Linked DNA regions of Xenopus tropicalis. The protein of the gene in region 4 interacts with the protein of the main gene of each other region in a biochemical or structural test. Links are inferred from orthologs where the notes say so. Each region holds a gene or a part of one and is shown on either strand. Other genes may lie near its edges.

The links.
Region 1: the proteins of hltf (region 4) and ube2n form a complex in vitro, tested with the Homo sapiens proteins (2 studies listed by BioGRID, with this or other methods). The link is inferred for Xenopus tropicalis from reciprocal best matches to the Homo sapiens genes HLTF and UBE2N.
Region 2: the proteins of hltf (region 4) and rad18 form a complex in vitro, tested with the Homo sapiens proteins (2 studies listed by BioGRID). The link is inferred for Xenopus tropicalis from reciprocal best matches to the Homo sapiens genes HLTF and RAD18.
Region 3: the proteins of hltf (region 4) and ube2v2 form a complex in vitro, tested with the Homo sapiens proteins (2 studies listed by BioGRID). The link is inferred for Xenopus tropicalis from reciprocal best matches to the Homo sapiens genes HLTF and UBE2V2.

The regions. Positions count from the first base shown.
Region 1 is NC_030679.2:56,088,971-56,093,468, forward strand, and holds part of ube2n (ubiquitin-conjugating enzyme E2 N), read right to left. Parts: intron 2,614-4,498; coding exon 2,367-2,613; intron 1,166-2,366; coding exon 1,025-1,165; intron 521-1,024; coding exon 480-520; 3' UTR 1-479. UniProt on the Homo sapiens protein: The UBE2V1-UBE2N and UBE2V2-UBE2N heterodimers catalyze the synthesis of non-canonical 'Lys-63'-linked polyubiquitin chains. This type of polyubiquitination does not lead to protein degradation by the proteasome.
Region 2 is NC_030680.2:131,519,982-131,524,479, forward strand, and holds part of rad18 (E3 ubiquitin-protein ligase RAD18), read right to left. Parts: intron 1,273-4,498; coding exon 926-1,272; intron 1-925. UniProt on the Homo sapiens protein: E3 ubiquitin-protein ligase involved in postreplication repair of UV-damaged DNA. Postreplication repair functions in gap-filling of a daughter strand on replication of damaged DNA.
Region 3 is NC_030682.2:113,259,393-113,264,501, forward strand, and holds the start of ube2v2 (ubiquitin-conjugating enzyme E2 variant 2), read left to right. Parts: upstream 1-2,091; 5' UTR 2,092-2,099; coding exon 2,100-2,115; intron 2,116-2,183; exon of another isoform or gene 2,184-2,365; intron 2,366-3,812; coding exon 3,813-3,961; intron 3,962-5,109. UniProt on the Homo sapiens protein: Has no ubiquitin ligase activity on its own. The UBE2V2/UBE2N heterodimer catalyzes the synthesis of non-canonical poly-ubiquitin chains that are linked through 'Lys-63'. This type of poly-ubiquitination does not lead to protein degradation by the proteasome.
Region 4 is NC_030681.2:122,177,000-122,181,497, forward strand, and holds part of hltf (helicase-like transcription factor), read right to left. Parts: intron 2,654-4,498; coding exon 2,518-2,653; intron 2,011-2,517; coding exon 1,831-2,010; intron 1,179-1,830; coding exon 1,054-1,178; intron 88-1,053; coding exon 1-87. UniProt on the Homo sapiens protein: Has both helicase and E3 ubiquitin ligase activities. Possesses intrinsic ATP-dependent nucleosome-remodeling activity; This activity may be required for transcriptional activation or repression of specific target promoters.

The DNA.
Region 1 (4,498 bases), on a different chromosome or scaffold from region 4:
GAATACAGATTTGACCAATGCAAAAACAAAAGTGCATCTAAAAAGAAAGGGAGGGGCAATGACACATTGTTTTAAAGTTAACAGAGCCAAACAAATAGTTGTTTTATCTTAAAAATTAAAAAAAAAAACCCAACTGTTTCAGCAACTAACCTAACTCTACCTTCATTCACAGTGCTCATACTCAAATCATGATGGGTATAATGGACATCAAGAACTTTTGCCACCCCTTTGAACATTGTGGAACATGCTGACACGATGGATTACAGCCTCTGCGCATGCGATACAACAGTGAATTAGAACAAGACATATTATTTGCTAATGTGCATTTAATCACCAAAGATGACCATGTCTGGGCTTTTTATTCCATATATTTTATTAAGACTGTGTCCATTAAACACAAACAAAAACAAAACAAAAATAAAGGGAAGAGGTCTTGGCAGAACAGGAGAAATGATGTGCACTTGAAGATCAAGCCGAATTTAAATATTATTCATAGCATGTAGCCTAGTCCATGCTCTGGCTGCAAGGGAAGAGAGAGCACAATGAGAACAACATAGTACCTGCCTATACAGACAATGTTATGCATTTACCTGCAGAGATATTCAGCAAATTTCTCCTTTTTACCAGTCCTTCACGTTCATGCATACAATGCAATACACTGAGCGCACACACTGTATTATATTACATACACAAACACACTATAAAATGGTCAGAAAATTCCAGAATCTCATTCCAGAATGTTTTCTTTAAATCTGTCTAAGAGAAAACAAGATCACTAAAGACAATTGCACCATTAGAGACTGAAAATGCTCAAATTCGTGTTTTTTCTGACACTGTTTGGTTGCAATCTACTGGTCACAACAAAGCTATAGCTAAATAAAAAACATAAAATGACAAAGCACAGAGGGGATTCATTTTCACCCCAAAGCTGTATTTTGGTAATTTCAATCAGTATTGTGCAAGAATGTAAAAAATACAGAATAATATTAAAAAAATAAAAATTAAAATCTTCGCTTTTCAATACCTGTTTCTATGGCTTGGGCTTCATTTGTCTTCCACTGCTCAGCTACATCATTGGCTAATGGGTCATCTGGGTTGGGAGCACTTAACAAAGCCTGAATTGATAGGAGCACGGTACGGATTTGCAGAGCTGGTGACCATTTATCTATACATGAAGAAAGAGAAAATAAGACCCTACTCTTTGCCTTTAAATTCAAACATTCATTTCATGTTCACATGATCATGTGTTATTTATTATGAGTACAAATTATATGGTACCTTACTATGAGTAAATATGCAATTAAATAGTATGCACTCAATAGTAAGAAATCCAAGTCTGGCTTGGGACTACATGGGAGTAGGAGAAACAATAGGTTGCCTGGAAACAGTTCTAATGTGTAGCGCTGGCTCTTTCTGAAAGTTCAGCCACTGAGATGGCTGCCTACACAGCAATATTACAACTAAAAAAATAAATGTTGGTTCAAGAAAATTTTTTTAAATGGTAGAGTGAATTATTTTCTGTTTAAACAGTGTAATTTAGAAATAAAAAGTACACCATAAAAAATCATGGCAGTATCCCTTTAAAGAACATAGTAAAGCCCAAAACCACAGTTTTTACACAAAGTAAAACACGTCTATTACCATTATATTGACAGGTGTCAGCAAACAATGTGTTCGGCAAACAAAAGGAAAAATCCCAAGAAAAAGGCATACTGAGCAACATCCCAGATAGGTTTTTTTTTATCTTAATTAACATAAATTCATGACTTTAATTTATAATAATAAAAAAAAAAAAACTTGCAAGGAATGTTTAACCATTTATGGTTTTAACAAAGTAGTATTAAAATACCAATGCAATAGATATACATTTCTGGGTTACATTGTAATCTAAGGGGAAAACAACATGTTGCCTAGCAACAAGTCTAAACAAGTTCTTACTGCTACTGGCACTTAAAGAAATAAGACTAACACCATGTGGTGTATTCTCTATGCACATACGGCAGATGCCATGTCTGTCAATGATAACTGAACAAGATGGATTAAACCTAATTGGCATTTACTCCACTGGCATTTCTGATGCATATATTAGCATACACCTGTATGCAGTTACCAACTGGAATGGAACACATTAGAACACTGTAACATGCTAGTGCAATAGTTACACAATGTCAGTGTGTATAAAAAAAAAAATAACTGAACTCCACAATGCAACAGTTCAGAAGGTAGCACAACTTATTTTTGTTGGCTCTTAAAATGATTTAATAGTCAGCACTTAAAGGCACGCTGTATACAGTGATGCCTAAGTCATTTTTAAAAAAAGAATCTGAAAAATAATAGCGTCCTTTTAAATAAGAGGAAAAACTTACCTTTCAAAATATCTAGACATATTCTTCCCAACTTGTCTACATTAGGGTGATAGATTTTGGTCATGAAACGTACTTTAGGCGCTGCCATTGGGTATTCTTCCGGAAGAAATAATTCAAGTTTAAATGTCCCTCCCTCAAAGGGGGAATCCTGTGGACCAGCGATAAGCACATGGAAATAGCGAGCATTGTTTTCATCTGGCTCAGCCTTAATTCCGGGGACTGGCTCTGCCAGTAAACGCTGGGTTTCCTGCAATGAAAACACCAGGACAAATGTAAAATGTGTAGTGACTGAGGAGATAATACACATATATTATATAAATGAAGAACAGAGTTCCGCACACACAGGGAGTTTAAAAAAAGAACAAAAAATCTTTATTAATCCAACGTTTCCAACACTAATTGTGTTCCTCTTTAGGGATATGTATAGATATAGATATATAAATGCCAATACATGTGTAGTAAACTTATGTTAAAAAAATTAAAGGTACTTTTATGACTATCATCTCTAAAACCCACAACAATATTTAAACATTAGGAACCAAACTAAACACACTTTTATTACATTTTATCTAGCACTTCTGCTTTGCAGCGTTGGGGTCCTGAGTTCAATCCTGGCCTGGAGTCTGTATGTTCTCCCCATGTCTGCATGGGTTTCCTCCAGGTACACCAGTTTCCTCCCACACTCCATAAATATAAACAGAGTGTGTGTGAATGAGCTAGGGACCTTAGATTGTAAGCTCCCCTGGGGCAGGAATGATGAATAATCTCTGAAAAGTGCTGTGGAAATCAGTCAGTGCTATATAAATAACAGGAAATTAATATATATATTTAAAAGCACAGTAAAAAAAATTCTAAGCCTTCCAGTGCTAAATATAAGGATATCAGTAATTGCCAAAAGTCCTTTTTTGACTAATGCCTAGAGGAAAAAAAAGAAAAAAACCAGCCATCTCAATCTGGCACTGGTCACCACTTTATGTATGTCCAGTAGGGTGCTTTTTATTTTTTTTATTCACTTGTACTAGGAGTAATGAGAGTGGCAGACCAAATGCCACTGTTTTCCACCAGATGGCAGTTGTGGACATAATTCAGACCCTGGGATGGCACTCCTCAGCACTGATAAACCACACCAGCCCAGGCTACTATTTCACCTGCCCCAGGCATCCTTTGTGGCTTGTCTGTATGCTGGTGCTAGAGTGACAGATCAGAATTTGAACCTGGAAGCTGAACTCTATCCCTACTGCACATGCCCAGGGCTGCAGCAAAATATTTCCTGTATAGGGAAAGATGATGGTGGTGCTCACTAGAACAGCACCCAGGCTGGCCAGGGTCTAAGGTCAACAATCAAACACCCCTTTCATTTATAAGCTTAGCAATAAGGATGCAAGTTTCTAGTATTATAAGCTTAGTAATAGGGATCGCACCAAATCCATTGAGACTAGGCTAAATGCCACATTCTCCCCCATGTTTGGTTGATCGCTAAATCAAGTTCAAACCCTAATTTGCACAGTCGAAGAGGATAAAAATCCAAATAAAACTAAGTAAGATATTGCCACTTTCAGCAGGCCAGAGCTTTAAAGTCACCATCAGTTGTGGGTTTGCCCTTGGGTGCACTAAACCAGGGGTCCTCAACCTTTCTTACTCGTGAGCCAAAGTCAAATGTAAAAAGACTTGGGGAACAACACAAGCATCATAAAAGATCATGGGGGTGTCAAATAAGGGCTAAGATTAGCTATTAGGTAGCCTCTATGCACACCATCAGTTTACAGGAGGGTTTGTTTGGTGGTACATCAAGGGGCCCATTTATCAAAGTCCGAATTTCAGACTTTTAAAAGTACGTTTAGGAAAAATTTGTATCAAGTATGAAAATTTCTCATGTGCGTTAATTGCGCAAAAACTCGCATTGTGGTCGTACAAAAATTTTGTGGTACGATCCGAAAGTTCACAAATTTTCGTATCTGAATGATCGTAAACAAAAAACTTTGACTTTGAGCCTTCAGTGCATGTTTCTGGAAGCCTCCCATAGGACCGTTACTGAATGAGTAACGAAACTTTTGTACTTGTTGCGTCAAATACAATTTTGTTGCAAAGTATGAAAAAGTTGGGAAACTAAAAAAAAAGAAAAAAAAATTTGC
Region 2 (4,498 bases), on a different chromosome or scaffold from region 4:
ATTCTAATTATGACATACTTAGATGGCAGACCGATCTAACTGGATTTCTTTAATGTTTAAATACATTTTTAGAAGACAAAGTATAGTGAGCCAATAATTATTATAGAATATATTAGAATGTCACACAATGCCTGTTTCTGCAGTTTTCCATAAATATATCGGACATATTCTTCTAATGTCTGCGCTGTGCCACAGAACACCTAACCCCAGTCTACTGTGTGAACAAAGTTAAATAATTTTAAGTCATTGGGTTATTTGCCAATTTAGCAACTGAAATGTGTAAAGTTTTTTCAGATCCTTATGGAACTAGTAAACTGTATAGCATTACAGTTCAAAGGTTCTTATCTTCTAAATCCCTGCAAATTACAATACATATCACTTTTCTTCTACAGGGAACAGTATAAGGGAAATGACAGAAGAGGAAATTAGTCGCCTGTAACAAATCTCCTCTATTGCGGGCAACTAATCTCCTACCAATGCCTTCCCACTGACAATTTACGTTATCGCCAGTGGGAAGGCATTGTGAGATTAGTCTCCCCAGTAAAAGAGATTTGTTGCAGGGACTAATCTCCTCGTCTGTCATTTCCTGCTTTAAAAAACCTAACCATGTTGTGTGTCAGTTGTGCACTGAAAATGACTGGCTCACGTTGGAATCGGCCAATTAGAGCAGGTGAAATGTGTCAAAAACTCACAGCATAAGCGCGTTATGTGCAGACAGAAAAGAAATGTTACACTAAAGAAATATAAAATATATAATTAAATACATAAACAACTGTAAGCAAAAAAAAAAAAAATTAAGACTATTTGTAAAAACAGATTAATTCCAGATCCAATACAGTTTAATTATATATAAAAATCCAATATAGTTGCATTATATATAAAAATATAAAAAATATGGCAAATAGTTCGGACACTAGAGGCTTACCTCTAACTTTTGATGCAGAAGAGGGTGCAGCTAGAGCAGATGTGGAGGGTGAAAATGTACCAAACGTCTCTGTCATTACAGAACCTGCTTCTCCGGCTAAATCAATATTGGAGGTATTAGCAGAGGTATATGAAGAATCCTGGCTTAAAAAGGTTTCATCTTGTAAAGTGTTTGAATGAGTTCGGGGTGTTGAACAGTTGCCTTTTACCAGAAATCTATTCATTATTATGTTCTCTTGCTTTACTTGTTTACCAGTGCATCCCTGCATTTTTGCAATCTTGCTGGTGGAGGGGTTACTTTGTGGCGACATGGGAGGTGAATCCAAGACAACCTTTGAAAGATGCTGCCTAAAACATACAAGAAAAAAAGAGTTGTAATTTTATTTAAAACAGAGGAGACCTGCCCACATTGTAGTAGATATTTAATACAGTTCACAATTAGTCATTAATTTTGTGTATATTATATATATATATATATATATATATACACACACACACATACATATATGGGATCCATTATCCAGAAAGTATGGGATCCATTGTCCAGAAAGTTCTAAATTAAAGGAAGGCCATCTCCTATAGGCTCCATTATAATCATATAATTCAAACAAAACAGTATCTTTTACTTTATACCAGCTAAGACAGTGCCCTTTCTCAGGGACAGGACTTTTTTTAATAGAACTTTTGTCTTTTGGCACTAAGTCCCTGTGTGTGGAACCCTTTCTCTCTCTGTATATTACATTTTTTTTTTTTTATTTTTTTTTTTTATACATTTCTAACATTTTTTTTAAACTGAAACCAACACACTCTTGCTGACAGTAAATCTGTCAATTTCCTCTGTTCTAATTGGATAATTCCAGCAATAGTGAACAATAATAATAAGAAAACCTATTTGTGAAAAAGAAATAAAGCATGCAGTATATTTGGGTGCATGTTTATAACAATGACAAATCTTTAAAGGAAAACTATACCCCAAACAATGTAGGTCTCTAAAAAAATATATTGCATAAAACCTGCTTCATCTAAATAAACCATTTTCATAAAAATATACTTTTTTAGTAGTATGTGCTATTGGGTAATACTAAATAGAAAACTGCCATTTTAAGAATTAAAGAGATACTGACACCAGAAATGAAACCTTTTTTACATCTGTCATAATATTGTCTCTGCATGCTATTTATTATTTTGCCATAAAAGTATTTGTCCAAGCTTTTACATTCACTATCTGATCCCCCATGTTCCTCTATGAGGGGGCGGCCATATTTGTCCAGCAGGTGGCCATTAGCATTAGAAGCTGTAACTGACTGGCTGAGAAGGGACAGTCAGGCTGGCAAAACAGTCAGGTTTTGGGATTTCAAGTAACAATTTCTTACAAAAGCAAACCTATCAGCAAAAAATGATCAACACGACCTATAGGCAACTTTTTATGTAGATTCATAATTTAAAAAGTTGTTTTTTCGTGTCGGTATCACTTTAAGGCCGCCCCCTGGGATCATAGGATTCACAGTGCACACAAACAAGCCAAGGCACACATACATGCTAGGCCCCATCAGCCAATTAATGGGCAGAGTTCTGCCTTTTGCTCCCACACTACTTCCTGTCAGAGCTGCATTATTTCTGGTCATGTGATCTCTGAGGGAGCACACAGCCCATCACTAAGGGCCTTGACAGACGGGGAGATTAGTCACCCGCGACAAATCTCCCTTGTCCCAGGAAACTAATCTCCCCGAAATGCCATCCCACCGGCTAGAATGTAACTCACCGGTGGGATGGCATACGCGGCGCGGCGATTTGCCGAAATCGCTGAAGTTGCCTTGAGAGGAAACTTCGGCGATTTCGGCACCGCATATGCCATCCCACCGGAGATTTACATTCTAGTCAGTGGGATGGCATTTCGGGGAGATTTGTCACACGGCAACTAATCTCCCCGTCTACCACAGCCCTAAATGGCGACTCAAGGGAAAAGATGTAAAAGAGCTAAATTTACTGATATATATATATATATTCCAGTTTAGCAAAATTCTTTAATAGGTCACTTAACAAAATATAAACTGTTTATTAGGTATTTATTCTGGGGGTATAGTTTTCCTTTAACATATGCTGTTTTGCTTTAGAACAGGAAACATCAAAGCCTGTTTTGTGGTGTAAGTCTTATGGAATTGTTTTACCATCTGAAATGATTCAAGACTAAACCCATATCCATCCTCTGGATAACTACAGCCAGTCCAAAATATCAAATAAAAACAGCCAGGCCTCCCAGGTAGGTACTCAAAGGACAAGGTCAAGTAATAGAGGGAACAGTTGTGTGTTACAAACAAATAAGATGTGGCAGAAGACCTAATTTCACATGACTTTACATAATATTGAGTAAAGGAGTAGTAGTGCAGAAAGCCATATGTCTATATAAAATCTTCTAGCTAATCTTTTTGCTTCAGCTAGCCATACACGCACAGATATTGTTGTGAGGTACAAGGTTAAGTACCATTTTCAGGAAAACATTTTTGAAAGCAGAATATGCAATCCAAAGTTTTCCAGAACAAGGTTTTGGAAAAAATACCATTAAGCAGCCTTACCTCTAATAAAAACAGAAGATTCTGTTTCTCATCTCTAACTGTAGACATCAAATGGCACTGAATACTAATACACTTGCATATACTTGGCGTTTCCATCGGATCTAAATTTGTCCTCTTTCTAATGACATTAAATTATGAGATAAGACTGATCAATGTAATTTCAGTCGGCCATAACATCTGACCTCCACAGAACTTACTAATTATACCGAATCTGTACGGAATCTCTACGGAATCGCAGCTTTATTAATTAAAATATTTGTGCAGATCAAAGCATTTCCACACTACTGTATATGTATGTATAAGTGTGTGTTATTTCTGTTGCTGATGTTAATTTCCCAGAATGCAAGGCAGTAGCAGCAAGACAGAGATGGACATACAAGTGTGATATGCAGAACTGAGCTGCAGTTATTATATCAGGAAACCCTGCAATTACAGATACCCTACAGATCATATCCTTTCCTTTCAGTAGGGATGCACCAAACCTACTTTTTTTGGGTTTGGCCGAACCCACCCTGGCAGATTCTGCTGAATCCTGAACCAAATTCGAATTAACATATGCTAATTAGGATCGCTGCACGTGCGGCAAATTTTTTTTACCATGACCATTTAACCCTTTCCAAATACTAATTAGCATATGCTAATTCTTACTAATTAGGATTCAGACGAAACTGAATCCTTCAAAAAAAGCCTGGATTTGGCCCGAATCCCGAACCGAATCCGGGATTCGGTGTGCAGGGACCCATAAGATTTAGCGCTCCTATGGCTTTAATCCCCTACTAGTTCTTTCTATTACTGTTACTGGGCAGAGTCCCCTGTATCTAGTTTGCACTAATGCTATCCCTTATTTTTTTAGTCAGGTTGTAGACGCCCCCTGCAGACTGATAGTGTCCAGCAGGAGGGTGTGACTTCCTCTTTGGCTGCCTGCCTGCTACCGAAGGACAGCTCCCTCTGAGCCTGGGTGCAGCAACAGGCCCCAGTAAAGCCATTTCAGTCCAGAGACC
Region 3 (5,109 bases), on a different chromosome or scaffold from region 4:
GAAATAAGCAAAATAAACAGTGGTAGAGAGTTGTAGTTCAGCTTACCCAAGGCAGGCAGACGATCAGGGGCGATCAGGGGCGATCAATCCAGCAGGAAGGCAGCAGGGGAGCTCCATCTTGTCCGAAGTGCGCAGCAGGAGTGAGGGAGCCGACAGTAGGCGGCGCTATTTAAAGGGACAGCAGTGGACACGTCATCAACGCGTGTCCACTGCTGTCATTGGCTGGCGACGCGATCGGTGCGGCTGGGGGACCCGGATCGGTGAGTATGTCTTCATTGCTCGTTGCCTAGGGGGATCTGAGGGGTTTACAAGCGCTGCGCTGCTTTAAAAGCAAGCGCAGCGCTTGTAAACCCGACAGTGCCATTGGACGTAGATTCTACGTCCCATGGCACTTTGGTCCCTTGGTACCTGGGACGTAGAATCTACGTCCCTTGGCACTTAAAGGGTTAAAGTTCACAGTTCTGGAAACATTAAGACTGTTCTGTCTTAAAGTTAATTTTCTAGCTGGTGGCATTAATAGCTGCAGCATGTGGTCCCTGATTTTCAGGGAGCTGGGAATGAATACCCCGGTGAAGATATGGGGTTGGTGGGCTCCAAGGTAGCCAGGGCCGGATTTATCTTCAGGGCGCCCTGAGGCCACCCCCGTTGGTCGCCCCGCCCGCCCCCTGTGCGCATGCGCGAACGCGCGACACACCCCCGTGCGCAGGTGCGAGTGGGCATGCGCAAACCTTTAAAGAGGTCCCGACTGCTCCGTATGGAAGCCAAATGTAAAAATTTTGTTGCCGCCCCTAAACTTCTGCTGCCCTAGACCCGGGCCTTTGTGGCCTTTCCACAAATCCGGGCCTGAAGGTAGCGATGCGGGCCAGCCATTGGTGGAGCATGGGAGGCATGACACCTGAGGGGTTAAAAAGTGTACCAGCAGTGCAGGCTGGTCTTTCTGTTCTGTGCTGGTGAGGGGGTATGGTCCGCATCTGACCCTCCCACCCAAAAAAAAAAACAAATTGTGTTGTCGATTCTTGCATGGAGGAGTCAGTATTTATGTTTATATTTGTTAAAGTGGTCTGCTGTGGGTTATCAGAGGCTGGCAAGTGTTAGATGGTGTCAGTATCTCTTTAATCATACTTTTACTTCCAAGTCACTGCTTGTAAACAAGCTCAACAGAACTTCTTTTAATACAACTTTTTCAGGATAGGAGTAACAGTGAGTGCAACAAACCCACAAAAAATAGAGGTTCACTGAGGCTTCATTTTTGATATATGTGTGGAAAACAGAATCTCTTACCCAGGGTTGGGGCATGGGTGCAGAACATAAAGGGCTAGTTGGCCTTTAAATGAACTTTTAGTATAATGTAAACATTGATGTTCTGAAACAATTTCCATGTGGTGTCCAGTTTGGGATTTCAGCAGCAGTGATATTTACCCCAGGAACCAGCCAGTGGCTTGAATGAGAGACTAAAAGACAAACAGGAGAGGGTCTAAACAGCAAGATAAGTAATAAAAACAAAAACAATAAGATTGTGGCCCCAGAGACTAAAATATGTCTGGCTTCCGAGGTCAGTGGCCCCCATTTGAAAACTGAAAAAATAGGAATGCAAATAATTAAAAACCTATGAAAAATAAATAATGAAGACCAACTGAAACAGTTGCTAGGAATAGGATATTTTATAAGGAACTAAAAGTTAATGTGAATATTTAACAATATTTAGCAGTATAGCCAAACCAGTTTCCAAACACCTTCAATTGCTAAAGGCATAGTGCTGCCACAGGAAAAATGTTGCTTGATGCCAATGTTACAAATCGTGTAAAAACATAAACAATAGTTTGGAGAATGCGGGCATCGATCCCGCTACCTCTCGCATGCTAAGCGAGCGCTCTACCATTTGAGCTAATTCCCCTCCACATGCTCCCTTTCCCTTCTACTTATTAAATGTGTAAAAGCGCGAACCCGGCAGCCAATCAGCGTTTCCCACTTGATCCGAATGAATGGGAGGCAAGATTAGCAGCGGAAGTGACGTGTGGGTTTGCGGCTGGCGCCCGTTCTGCCTCTCTACGCGCTGACGTCTCATGGTGCGTGGGCTCCGGTCCTGGGCGGCGGAGAAGATGGCGGTGTGCGCAGGTCTGTGTATGCTGGGCCGGGGAGCATAAAAGCCGATGTTGGGGTTTGGAGGGGCAGGGATTGAAGTTGTGTGTGAGGCGCACTCTCGCCGTATGGTTTCAGGGATAAGATGACAAAAGAAAACTCTTGCTTTTCGGGGGTTCTCATTGCCTGCCCATCCTTCAGTTTCCCCCCGGTTGAGTGAATAGGAATTTGGCAGTCAGGGGTCTTAACCCTTTACATGGACTGTTGCTCCCAGCATCCCTTCTGGGTATCTGACCCCTTCTCTGTAGGATCTACTTATCCCTTACAATTTGTTCCATTCAATGTGTCACTTTTACTTTCCCTACTTTTTTGATCTATAGCAGAGCCGAAATGATTTCACATGTCTCTAGCAATGTGTCCTTTCTGCCTTCCTGTGTGCTTCTGCAGTCTATCTAGCTGCTCCATCTAGCTGCTCCATCTAACTGCCCACCCTGCCCCCATATTGGGCCACATGCAGTGCCCACCCTGCTGATGATGTGGCCTTTTGCATATTCCCCCCCCCCCCATATGTCAGCAAGTGGTATGGCCTGCATGGCTGCCCCTTACAGATAGCATGATCTGCTTAGTAACCAACTCTGAATGTGGCATGGCTTGTGCTGTCCAACCATAAAACACTGCCATGTCCAGCTTTGTTCTGTCCCCTGCACCATCCAGTTGCCCTTCCTTCGTTTGCTGCACCCCTTCCTGCACATATTTTGCAATGGCCCTAAACATCTTTGCTCTACAGGATCCAGTCCTCCTGTTGCCATGCAGCCTACATATATTTTGTTCTGCATCTCTCTACTATCCCACTTTTGTTCAGCTTTCTGGAACTAATAAGTTGTGTTCTGCTGCTGCTGAATATATATATATGTATTTGCATTTTCTGGGTGTAGTGTGCCCTGAAGCATCTTACACACCTTGATTCTCTGTTACTGAAGTGTTCTTCCCAGCCTAGTATCACATGCCCATCAGAAATCCACTATCCAGCCATCTTACAAACCTGATCTACCTTCTGCCTATAGTGTTTTAATTTTTTCTATGCTCTGCATGTTGTTTGCTAATGAAAAAATCCCAAGCCTTCCTTTTCCATTAAATTTGGCCCTGAAACCTGTCTGTCTCACTCACTCTGCTACAGTTGGCTGACACATTTCCTGGCCTGATAGTCATACATTTTCCAGCTCTGTTGCACCTTTCACTTTCTGTTTTGTTATATAGTACTCTAATCATCTTGTTTTCAAGGAGTAGCTGTCACTTCCCCTACTTTGATAGATTTAAGTTTAGAAATTAATCATAAGATTATTGTACCACTTATTCTCATAATTTGCTATGGAAGTTGTGTTTCTTCTGTAGATACTTGGTCAAGAGAGAAGTGGTGCAGTAGACACCTATGTATTCAGGGCCTCTGCAGGAGGTTGGTCTGAGTTGGGTAGGCCTCTTGAGTGACTGTCTGGTGATCATCCATGGGCATCTCAGGAACTGGCTCATGCCAAGCTGGGGGGTGGACCTGTGGATTACAAGCAGAACAGTTGTTGTTGAACCTATCAATATATTTGCATTTATTGGTTGGAAGTTCCTAAATTTAAATGTGAAATCTGTATTTGAAATACAAATATGTAAAATTTTAAAATATTTTGAGAAGCAGTGTCTTTATGCTTTACCACTTTTCAATACATATTATTGCGTCCTAACAGGTGTTAAGATGCCTCGTAACTTCCGATTACTGGAAGAACTTGAAGAAGGGCAGAAAGGTGTGGGAGATGGCACTGTCAGCTGGGGCCTTGAAGATGATGAAGATATGACACTCACTAGGTGGACAGGAATGATAATTGGACCCCCTAGGGTGCGTTCTGTAAACTGCGTGTCTTGTAGCAGGCAATCTTGTTTGCAACTTTTTCTGGATAAAACAATTCTTTGAACATAACATGTTTGTGTTGGAACCTGTATATGAAAATATATACTAGCTTGATAGTATTGACAAATACCTCTAAGCATCGGTTCCATAGTGCTGGTCACCTATGTCACGTGCCATTTTTACACCGCATTTTTATGCCATGGTTTTAGAAAGTCCCTACATGGCATAAAAAAATGAAATAAGCATTACTATAGAAAACACAGTAATATACTTGTTGTAAAAAACACACATTACATGCTGATATTTGGCAAGAGACACTAGCATGTGTGATTTCACTTTTAGGAGCTGATACGCCAGAACAAATGATAGTCAATGATGTGTCATAAATATGCAGTGTTTTTTAGGATGGTTGCTGAATTTTTGCAAGATTTCCTTCCTAAATCGTATGCCATTTTTACAGTATTTCAGCAATCTCACTATTTAAAACCCTTTGTTCCGGTCCTTGCATTCATTACAGAAGTCTTTGTGCAAGTTATTACTAATATAAACATACAGTGCAGTTTGTCGTTATTACATCATGTTATGTGTGCCAATGTGCATGACAATGTGATTGACGTAGTGTTGGTGGTTTTTAGGAAACGTGAATTAATGCAAAGGTTTGTTGGCGAGTAGAACAAATCATGGATAATTTAGATATATCATCTGGATCAAGTATGTGCATAAAACACTGATATATTTTACAGGTGTTTCTATGCTGCATTACAGTTTCATGTGTGACACAGCATGTTATTATTGTTTAAATATTTGCTTGGTACTGGTTGGAGTACTACAACATGCTCCTGTTTCCATTCAGTATTCAGAAGGATGCAGTCTCATTTTTGAATAGTCAAATACTGTCCCAAATTTACATACCTGTACTTTAATTTGTATTCTGCATGTTAACTTATTAAGTGATATGACATTCTGGCGTCTCCAATGGAACGGAATTTGCATGTTTTTCCTGGGGCTGGTGTTCCTTTTCAGAGAAACCAGAACTGGCCCGTGGAAAAACAAAGTGTTGAACAGGCATTGTTGACCATTACACTTTTGGCTACTCTACTGCTCATGTACAAACAAAAATCTGCACAAGGGTATCT
Region 4 (4,498 bases):
TGGCGCATTCCTCATCTGAGCCGGAGCTCAAAACCAGCTTTATCTTCTGAACGAGCTTCTCACGCACATCTCCTGGAGTGGAGTCAGCTGGGGATTTGCAAGGAAACACATGACAATGTGATGCCTTGGGTACAAAGCAAAAGCAATGCAGCAACACATCACAGTTATTCTGTAGGAGTAACTCTGCACTGCAATTCTTATAGAAGAATGCTTAGAATAATCATAAGAATCATCTGGAACCCTATAATGTAACTATTTCAGGTTGCTACAAGCTGTCATTGTACTTTAGCTCTGTTAAACTAATGATGACATATAAGTTACACTTTGGCTAGGGGCACTCAGGCATAGTATTGGCAGTGGAACACCAAAACTTGGGGCCACGTACCCAGCATATAAGAGTAGGCTGAATACGGAGTAATTAGCAAATTCCAATTTTATCAGTATCAAATCATCTGTGTAAATACATGATTGCGTTCAGTTGTCCAGAGCTTTAAGTCATAGGACATTTAGGGCTCTGGTACACGGGGAGATTAGACGCCTGCAACAAGGGAGATTTGCCGCGGACGACTAAGAGCCCTAAAGCTAATGCCACACAGGGGGTAGATCCTCAGCCTGCAGATAAGAACACAACACTGCATTCGCAAGCAGTTGTGCGCTGAATTCTACTTATTGTGCCTGCGACCAGGCTGAAGCAATGGCTCCATGTGAAGGCACAACAATCAGATTTTTGAAACAATCAGATTCTTGATTTTGTTCAGTTGAGTACTAAGAATTAGACTGAATACAAATCATCCCTAAAGTACTGCTGTTCAGGTCAATTTAGCACATACCTAATTTTCTGTAATGTCCCATGTCCTGACCAATATCAATAAGACTTCACCCGGCAAGATTTACGGGAAATTCCAAGTCCCTTTGGCATTATTTGCTGCAGGAAAGGGGCCATACTAGCCATAGTTTGTAAGGAAGGTAGAAACTGCACAACCTTGGCTCCTAACATGCTCGTAGTCCAGAATACTTCCTAAAACCCAAAACTTACTGTTCTGCTACACTCACCAGTAGTAGTAATGGAAGATAAAGCACTTGACACAAGAAAGGGGTGGCAGCAAAGCTGTCTCAGTCTCACCAGCACAGCTAAAACATCTGCATAATGTGAGAGTATGGTTCCTTCACTGACATACCTAAAGAATACAATAAATGTGTAATACATAGTAACCATAGGACAATTCCTTCCTGACTTTAAAATGGCAACTGTTTTGGTCATTCTACTTACAGGCTTTAGAAATTAATTTAGAAAAAATATTCCAACTGCCCTGTTAATGGCAAATGAACTGAATGCACTGGAGAAAGCCTTTTAGCAAAATATGACACAAAAGATTTATTGACTTTAGCAGTGTATTTGCTCCATTTGCACTTTGCAGGCTTTCCTAGGTGCCTTTCTGAGCTCTATCTAAAGTTTCCCCCTGCAATAATCTCTCCATCATTCATGGGTGGAAGTGATGTCTCCAGACAGAAGACGCAGATCAGTGCAAAGGAAGCTTTCAGCAATAAATAAAAACAAACAGCTTTTAACTATTTATGGTGCCTGGATTTGGCGGACCATACTGACAAGGTATTGTTTCAAGGTGTGGTGCACTGGGTTTAGTTCTCCTTTAAACAAAATATTTAGGGCGATTAGAAAACTTAGTATAAACAAAGTATATGAAAAGTTACCCCTATCTTTTAAATGTGTGGCAGAGTAACAAGCAATATACCAATATATGATCCTGAGTTTAAAGACAAGAACCTATCCACCACCCACAAAAATGGTAGGCACAACATAGGAAGTCTTACCTGCTAATAACAGCCTTGCCTTCGTTCTTCAGAGACTCATAGATTTGCCTTTCTTCCTCTGAAAGCTCCACATGCTGGATGAACACTTTGCGCTCTGGCAGATCCAGTACAGGCCTACCTCTGATTTTACTGGTTTTGGTTCTCCTCAGAGTTATATTTTTAATTAAAGCTTGCAATCGGCTTAAAAAGAATAAACTTTGGTCAGAGGTTGGGCAGAAGTGTCATATAAAATCACTGATGGTAACAGGCACCAGATGCAGAGAATTGCAATTATCAGGCCCATCTTTCCTAGGAGTAGAGCACCATTTGCTTTTTAATATTGGCAAGGGAGTAGTTGTGCAACATAACATGGCCTCTAGGTAAAAGGTGCAAGTGTTATAATGCTTCCCCTCTCCTGAAATGAGCCAGCAATCAAAGAAGAGAAGTTTAATTTTGCACTGGGGTAACACCATACTGATACATTTAGAGCCTGCACGGAGAAACCATGGAATGTCAAGATTCTTGCTATTTACCAAAGTAATGGGTGCAATAATGCACTGGAACAAATGCTCTGAATACATATTATAAGACTTTATATTTGCAAATGGGTAAGGGCTAATACACTGTGGAGGCAAACATCTTAATAATACCACTTTGCCTTCCCCAACTAACTAATGGTAATTATATTGCAAAAATTAGTTGTCCTACCAAAGTCCACCGTCTTCTCCAGTGGTAACAGGTCGCTGGATTGTCCGGTGCCACCACTCTCTATCGGTGAAAGGTTTTAGTTTTAAGAAACATATTAGAGACCACAAGTCCTTCAAAGAGTTCTGAATAGGAGTGCCTGTTTATTAAAATAAAAATGCATTATGCCTATTGGCAATGTTATTTAATATAAGAAATCAAAGAAGCTATTCTGTGCAAAATGACAGAAGATATGCATACCTTTGTGTAACATTCTCTTCTATTTATACCTGTAGCATTACACAGCTAGCTAACAACCATGAATATTCTCTGTGAACAAATTTCACTGTCAATGGTAAAATATAGTATCAGTGCTCCATACATTCAGAATGAGAGTTTCCATTTACTGCTCAAAGCAGTCATCTTATTTTTTTATGAAAGACAGTTACTTTGCCAGCAAGCTAAGCCTGACTCCCTGTAGCTTACATAGTAATTGCCCAAAAGGGCAATGGTCAAAATGTCCCAGAAATGTTTCTATTGGAACAAGAGAGGGTGGCGTCTGCTGTTAAAGGAACAGTAACACTAAAAAATAAAAATGTTTTAAAATAATTAAAATATAATGTACTTTTGCCCTGCACTGGTAAAAGTTGCATGTTAGCTTCAGAAAGTCTACTATAGTTAATAGAAATAGCTGCTGTGTAGCCATGGGGGCAGCCATTTAAATTGAAAAAAGGAGAAAAGGCACAGGTTACATAAGAAGATACCAGATAAACTGTGGAATCTGCTACTTATCTGTTATCTGCTTAGTAACCTGTGCCTTTTCTCCTTTTTTCAATTTAAATGGCTGCCCCCATGGCTACACAGCAAGGTATTTATATAAACTGCAGTAGTGTTTATGAAGAAAACACACAACTTTTACCAGTGCAGAGAAATAGTATATAATATATTAATTATTTTAATACACGTTCATTTTTTGGTGTTACTGTTCCTTTAAGATGTACCAGGACAAAACACTGAAGAAGGGGTTGAAAATATAATCTAGCACACGCACCCTAGGCTGTATATGCCTGACTGCACAGGCTAGGGGGAAAAACCTACTGAATAGCCCTATGGTGCAGCCCTGCCTTAAGGTGGCGAGGTCGCCAAGCGAGCAGATTGTCTCCCAATAACAGGTGGACAATATTGGGCTAATTGCTGAGGTTGCCAAGTGAGCGGATCGTCTCCTAATAATGGGTGGACGATATTGGGCTAATTCGTTCGTTTGGCCCTAGGGCAGGCATAGGCGCCGCCGGTTCGAGGACCACATCAACAAGCCCATATGGTCCCTGATCCGTAATGAAATAGCGGGCATAGGCATACATCTGGGAAACACATCAACAAGCCAATGTGGTCCCTGATCAGAGGGAAAAATTAAATCTGCCCGATCGGGATCTGCCCCATTTCAGGCCAGATGTCGGTTGGGGAGGCCAATAGATTAGCTGCCGTTATCGGTCTAAAGGACCGATATCAGCAGCTGAAATTGGCCGGTGTACCTTTGCAGTCAGGGTAACATGAGCAAGGTGAGACTGGAACAGTTAGAAAATGGAATGTTGCACCAATATTAGTCCCCCAACTCTCTGCAGCTTCTAAATAGTACTGATCATGTCACAGAACATGTCTTCAAAAGCACAAATTGACTGATAATCTAATGTAAATAAAACTGTTCCAGCTGGAACACAATTTGCCAGTTGTCAGTCAAGGATTAAACATACACCGCAGGTGCAAATGCACAATCACTCAATAAAATAGTGTTGAGACCCAAATGGCCTAATCAAACCTGCCCGATCGAGATCTCCCCGATTTCAAGCCAGATGTTGGTCAGGCAGGCCCATTGTTTGTACCTCTACATGGGCAGATAAGCTGCCCAATCGGTCTAAAGGACAGATGTAGGCAGCTAGAATCTGCCCACCTATGGCCACCTCTACTCTGACAACGGACTCACAGAGAGATCAGTAGTACTTACAGC